Canis lupus familiaris: one gene and its partner. The protein of the gene in region 2 purifies or fractionates together with the protein of the main gene of each other region. This does not show direct contact. Links are inferred from orthologs where the notes say so. Each region holds a gene or a part of one and is shown on either strand. Other genes may lie near its edges.

What was found. The genes of interacting proteins can lie anywhere in the genome.
Region 1: the proteins of H2AX (region 2) and USP48 purify together in Homo sapiens (affinity purification with mass spectrometry; 3 studies listed by BioGRID). This does not show direct contact. The link is inferred for Canis lupus familiaris from reciprocal best matches to the Homo sapiens genes H2AX and USP48.

The regions. Positions count from the first base shown.
Region 1 is NC_049223.1:76,790,592-76,794,871, forward strand, and holds the start of USP48 (ubiquitin carboxyl-terminal hydrolase 48), read left to right. Parts: upstream 1-1,404; 5' UTR 1,405-1,533; coding exon 1,534-1,667; intron 1,668-4,280.
Region 2 is NC_049226.1:14,790,595-14,793,069, reverse strand, and holds H2AX (histone H2AX), read right to left. Parts: upstream 1,272-2,475; 5' UTR 1,169-1,271; coding exon 737-1,168; 3' UTR 580-736; downstream 1-579. Other genes in the region: DPAGT1 (UDP-N-acetylglucosamine--dolichyl-phosphate N-acetylglucosaminephosphotransferase), read right to left, coding at 2,458-2,475. UniProt on the Homo sapiens protein: Variant histone H2A which replaces conventional H2A in a subset of nucleosomes. Nucleosomes wrap and compact DNA into chromatin, limiting DNA accessibility to the cellular machineries which require DNA as a template.

The sequences.
Region 1 (4,280 bases), on a different chromosome or scaffold from region 2:
TGCACTTTTATCTCTCACCAGCTTTAAACATTTCAAGGAATCTCTTAGATAAAAGCAAGGTCTCAGCCTGCTTCTCATAGCTTACTTCTCCCTGTCTCAGAATTTGTTTTCTGACACCAAGAAGTTTCTTCTGTGCCTTTTCTCTTTGTGGTTCCCTTTTGTAATGGTGCCTTCCCCGCCCCGCCCCCCCCCCTTCCTGGCTAAGTTCTACTCAACTTTTAAAGATGTACTTAGACAAAAAAAAAAAAAAAAAGATGTACTTAGAGATAAGGTCTTCCGGTAAGCCATTTCCCGAGTCCTGCAAACTTCCAAGGCTGATAAGGGGATCTCTCTTTCTACTGCACTCCCCTCGCCCACCCCCCAAAGGCGGGGACCACGTCTTATCTACGTCATGCTTTCTGCAAATGTTTGTCACTTTAAGCATCAAGTCCAAGGTTATCCAGCTGGTAATTAGTGCTTAAACCCCCGGCGGGCTCTCATTCAAATGCAAAGTCCCCCAAAATCTTCCCTCTAGCAGTGCTTTTAATAGTTTGCAAAACACTTCGATGAGGCTAGTCTTCATATCCTGGGGCAAGACTTGTAAAGAGGAAATGTTTCTAAACCCGGGAGCTTCAGGAAAGTACTAAGCAGTCATCAAGAAAGAGAGAACAGCAGCCGGGAGGGTCGGCCAGCTGCAAAGAAGACCCTCCCAGCCTGAAAAACCGCACCCAGCAGCCCTCACCCGAAGCCCCCTCCACCTCCAGGACTATAAATCCCAGCATGCCTAGCGTCCAGTGAGTGACAGCACGCAACGCACGCCGGGAAACGTAGTCCAGCCCTAGTTCAGGAAAAGGCCAGAACGTCCCGTGACGTCAGGAGGGCTCGGGAAAGGGGTCGGAACCGGTCCAGGCTCAAGTTTAATCATTTTGTAGCGAGCCGGCCCTGGTTTTCTTTTCTCTTTTTTTTTTTTTTTTTGGTGACCCGGTTTCAGGTCCTACCCCCGCAGTCCAGCGGCCCTATGTGCGTTGAGTAGCTTCTCGCGTGACTCCTTCAAGGTTAAAGGGGAAGTAGCAGAGAGCAAGAATAGGCAGCCTTTTGCTCTCGACGCGCCGACTCGTTAGGATAGTGGTACTCAGGACGCTGGCCTGTGCGAGAGCTGAGACGCTGCTTCCCCAGCAGCGCCGGTGAGGACGTGGCAACACTAGCTCGAGCGGCCGCTTCCTTTTCCTCTCGGCGCGTCCGGCGAGAGGCGCGAGGAGGCGCGAAGGCTGCTGGGAACGCGCATGCGCTCACAGCGGCGGAGAGTACACCTCCAACGTCTCCGGGCGCGGGGGGTGTCGGGTGTCGGCGGCGGCGCTTTGCGGCCGGTCGTGCGGGTCGGGCGCGGGCGGGCGGGCGGGCGCGGCGGCAGTGGCGCGCACAGGTGATTGACTGGCCAGCTGGCTGAGGAATCGCCTGGTCCCGGTTGCTGGCAGGTGGCGGAGCCCACTTGGGCGGCGGCAGCGGCGGCAGCGGCGACGGCCCGGCTCGGGAGGCGCTCCTCGGGCCAAGGCCATGGCCCCACGGCTGCAGCTGGAGAAGGCGGCCTGGCGCTGGGCGGAGACGGTGCGGCCCGAGGAGGTGTCGCAGGAGCACATCGAGACCGCCTACCGCATCTGGCTGGAGCCCTGCATCCGCGGCGTGTGCAGGTGAGGCCGGCGCACCGGGGCCTGGCGCCCGTCTGGCTCCGGACCTTGGAAAACTGGGCTGGGGCCCGGGGGTCTCGCCGGGGGAGAGGACGAGGAGAGGACGGCGGGCGGCTGTGCGCTTCCAGCGGGCGCGGAGAGGGGGCAAGGCGGAGGCTTCCTTCCTCCTTGACGCGTCCGGGCGACCCGGGCTCGCCGCTCGGAGGTGATGCTGCTGAAAAGCCCTTTGGGAAAGGTTCTGGCTTCTTATCTAGAAGATGGCGGTGGAAATGGTTGCAGGCAGGAGCGGAGAGCTTAGCAGACGTTGTTGGCTGTTGCATGTTGGCCACGGCTCGGCCTTTTCCATTGTAGGAAGGGAACTTGGAAGCGAGTTTCATCCCCCGGTATCTTTTATTACTGTGGACGCTGGGCTTGGTCACCTTCGTATTAGTTTTGGAGACGGCAGGTTTAGAAAAACGTCTGGGCAGCCTACGTCATCGGTACCCTTCACCCCCAGTTGACCTCCCCTCTCTCCGTTCATCTGTTTTAGCCCTTTTTTTTTTCTTCTTTTTTTTTGGGGGGGGGGCAGGGGGTTGCGTTCCGAGTGCGCCACTTGACCCAAGTTCGAAGTTTGAGCTGTGTTGGTTCTGCCCTTCACGTCTGCTCAGCCCCCTTGAACCTTTGCCTTGCCTTTTAGTTGGAATTCTCAGGCATTGTTCCTTGTCTCTTCGGATTTCTCTGCCTTCTTTTAACGCGGGAACTATAGTTTTTTTTTTTTTTTTTTCTTCTTCTGGAATGTCTTGTTGAATCGACTTGGCCGAGCCGGGCATGCTCAGTAGCCTCACTTCAGCAGGCGTTTAGCAAAGGCTTTCTGGAGTTTTTACACTCCGCGGCGGGATCCGGAAGGCATGGAAGTCCAAGGTCTCAGCTCTGGAATTTATAAAGTCGGGTTTGAGAAGTGATTCCAGGTAGGGAGCTTTCATAAGGCAAACGAGTAATTCCGAGCTCTGGGCGTCCGGCTCGCTAGGAGGGCGCATCTGACTCCCAACAGTAAGTACTGGCATGACAAGAGTCTGTGCGTAATAGAATGTATGAAGTTGCAGTTAGTTTCTCAACGTAATTAGATTCCAGAGTAACCAAAGAAACAACAACAAAAAACAACAAAACTTTTACACTGTTGCGATCCTGATTTTTTTTTTTTAAACACAGGTGAAGGAGTAGAAATGGGCTGGAACCACTATAAGAATAATGTCAGTTTTAAGTTGCAGTTGCAAGGTTTATATCCAAGCAGGGGTTTTTTTGTTGTTGTTGTTGTTGTCGTTTTGTTGTTTTGGCATTGAGATAGAATTCATATATTGCGTGATTCACCCATTTAAAATGTACTGCCCAGTGTTTATTTGTATATTCATTCACAGGGTTCAGCTATCACCACAATCTTAGTTTAGAACACCCCCCCCCACCACCGCACCCCTAACTCTTTAGCCGTTAGGTTGGCACTTGCCCATCGCTGTGCACCACCACCCCAAGCTCCAAGCAACCACTGATCAACTTTCTGCCTCTAGATTTGCCTGTCTTGGACATCTCATGTAAATCGAATTATAAAACAGGTGGACTTTGGGGGATTCCTGGGTGGCTCAGCGGTTTCGCGCCTGCCTTTGGCCCAGGGCGTGATCCGGGGGTCCCAGGATCGAGTCCCGCCTGGGGCTCCCAGCATGGAGCCTACTTCTCCCTCTGCCTGTGTCTGCCTGTGTCTCTGCCTCTCTGTCTCTCATGAATAAATAAATAAAATCTTTTAAAAAGTCTGTAAAATATGCAACAAAACTTACTAAATGTATAATTAAGTGGCATTAAATACCATTACAAGTTGTACAGTTGTCACCATTGTGTAGTTCTAGGGCTTTTCCATCACTATAAAAGGAGACTATCCGTTACACTTTGCCTTTCCCTCCTTGCAACCCCGGGCAACCACTGATCTTTCCATCTCTGGGTTTCTGTATTCTAAATATTCCATATAAATGGAATCCTACAATATAGCTTTTTTGGTCTGGCTTTCACGAAACCTGTTTTTCATTGTCTTCCATGTTGTATTATTGATCAGTACTTTTATTCCTTTGTGTGGCTGAATAACGTTCTGTTTGAATATATACCATATTTTGTTTACTCATCAGTTGATGGACTTAAACCCCCCCAACCTTTACTGAGAAATAGTTGACAAATAGAATTGCCTATTTTTTTTTTAATATTTTATTTATTTATTCATGAGAGACAGAGAGGCAGAGACACAGGCAGAGGGAGAAGCAGGCTCCATGCAGGGAGCCCAATGTGGGACTCGATCCCGGGTCTTCAGGATCACGCCCTGGGCCAAAGACAGGCACTAAACCGCTGAGCCACCCAGGGATCCCCCAGAATTGCCTGTTTTTAAAGTGTATTTGATAGACCTATGTAGTGGAATGAGTACTAAGATCAGGGTGGTTAAACACATGTCACCATAATAAACTCGATGAGCATTTTTGTTATATCCATTTGGCCTGTTGTGCTGCTATGAATATTTGGCTCAAGTTTTTATTAGAATACTTGTTTTCAGTTCTTTTGGGTGTATACCTAGGAGTGAAATTGCTAGGTCATGGTAATTATGTT
Region 2 (2,475 bases):
CTCCTCAATCTGTAGGGTCCTAGTCTTGGATGGGGATAGCTGCAAAATTCCAGTTCCGAAGCTGTCGGAGGCTCAGTGCAGATGGGGACGGTCGGGCCGGTGCTGGTACGGAGGTGCGAGGCCCGCGGAGCGGTCGCCGGAGAGAGCGGGCCGGGCGGCGGGGTTCGCGGGCGCGCGCCTCCTGCAGTCCCGGGGCCCGCGGGGCGCACCGCCCCTCCCCCCCTGGTGGCAGGTCCCCGCGGACGCGTTCGGCCCGAGCCGAGGGGGCGGCAGGGCGGACAGTGACGGGTCGTCCCCGCACCGCGGCGTCCGGAGAGTCCCGGCCCGGCCCGGCCCCGGCGCGTACCTCAGCCCTGCGTCAGCGCGCCGAGCGGCTCTTCCAGGCGGCGCCGCGGCCTCCCCGCGGCCCTCCCCGCGGCCCTCAGCGCGGCCCGGGCGGCTGAGTCACTGGCGCCGCGGCGGGCAGCGGCGCGCCCCCGGCCCCCTCCGGGCCCCTGCGCCGGGCGAGCGGGCGGCCCTCCGGCCGGGAGGCGGCGGGAGCGAGGGCAGGCGAGCCCGCGCGGGGGAGGGGCGGGCCGGGCGGCGGCGGCGGCGGTGACGACGCGGCGGGGGGGAGCCGAGCGCCGCGGCCGCCCGCCCCGAGCCCGACGTGGCTCAGCTCTTTCCGTGAGGGCGGTGGTGGCCCTTAAAAGGGCCTTTGTGGTGGCATGGGGGCCGGCTGCGGCGCGGGCGCCCCTCAGTACTCCTGAGAGGCCTGCGTGGCCTTCTTGCCGCCCGCAGGCGCCTTCGGCCCCACGGTGGCGCTGGTCTTCTTGGGCAGCAGCACGGCCTGGATGTTGGGCAGGACGCCTCCCTGCGCGATCGTCACGCCGCCCAGCAGCTTGTTGAGCTCCTCGTCGTTGCGGATGGCCAGCTGCAGGTGGCGGGGGATGATGCGCGTCTTCTTGTTGTCGCGGGCCGCGTTGCCCGCCAGCTCCAGGATCTCGGCCGTCAGGTACTCGAGCACGGCCGCCAGGTACACCGGCGCGCCGGCGCCCACCCGCTCGGCGTAGTGGCCCTTCCGCAGCAGCCGGTGCACGCGGCCCACGGGGAACTGGAGGCCGGCGCGCGACGAGCGCGACTTGGCCTTGGCGCGGGCCTTGCCGCCGGTCTTGCCGCGGCCCGACATGCTGCGCGAGGTAGAAGAGCTGTGAAGAGGGACGCCTCGAAGGGGGCAACGAACAGCCGCCCGCCGCAGTCCAACTGCTGCCGCGCGCGCCCAGGGGCCGGCCTTATAAGCCCCCAGGGCACACCTCCGCGCCCTCCTGATTGGCTCTCTCCTCGGGTACCCGCCTCCGGTTGGTTGCAGTTAACCCTTCAGTGACGCGCCACGGCCGAGGCAGCGCGCCCGCCGATTGGTCCGATTTGAAAACCTTTTGCCCGGGGAAAAAGGCGAGGAGGAGTGGTAGCACGCAGCCGGCCAACCCCTCCCCGATGTAGCCAATCCTTGCGAAGGGCGCCAGATTTAAACGCTACAGCTGGAGCCCAGAACCGGAAGGCAAAGAGGGTGGAGTCTGGGCCACCTCGAGGGCCTCTGGGAAACCGGTGCGGGCCCGGGATTTTTAAAGGAACGGGGTCGACACCACTCCCTTCCCTTCCTGGTCTGGTCATTCTTCTCTCCTTTCTCCCTCCTCCCATCCTGCAGAGGGAAATGAGAGAGGGAAGAAATGGGAACCCCTCCCGCTGCTCCCCCTAAAAACTTCTGTTCGGCACCAGAGAACAGGCAAGTCCAATCTTAGGGCTCTCCCTGCCACCTGAAGTATGAGGATTTCAGGGCTTATTCAACATGTTCTATTTGGTCTGTTCTTTCTGTTGACTTCTTGTTACAAGGAGCCCACTGTGCTGAAAGAAAAAAGATGGGCAGAGGGATAGGCATCCTCTTGGAGGAGGTACCTCCACCAATCCTCCCGATCTACCCTAAAATGCCCAAAATATACTTACAGGAACACCAAGAAAAAGACAACACTTTATTGTCACCACTGGGAGCACCTGGCCCCCCAATCTGCTCTTACGAATCAGAATACTTAATTTATGGTCAAATAATCAAGTGATCTTCGAGCCTGTGTCCCTCTCCCCAGCCAGGGTTCTATCCCCAGGCCCAACATATTCCTCGAGAGTCCGAGTGGTGGATAACTGCATAAAAAGCACAGTATCCCACTTTGGGAGGCCGCAGGGATGGGATAGAGAGGGAGAGCAGCAAGTTGAAGAAAGCCACAGGCAAAGTCCAATCAACAGTCAGTACAGGGCAAGACAGGCCCAGGATGTCGATCACAGCGGAACGGAATCGCTAAGTACAAAATCTGGAGAAAAGTAAGAGGTGAGAGAGGCCTGGGCCCGGAAGCTTGCCTGGCCCAGAAAGAGGCAGGCCTGAGTCAGGAACCCTGCAGACTATGCAGTGAAGGGCAAGGATTGGGGGACTCAGACATCGTAGAAGAG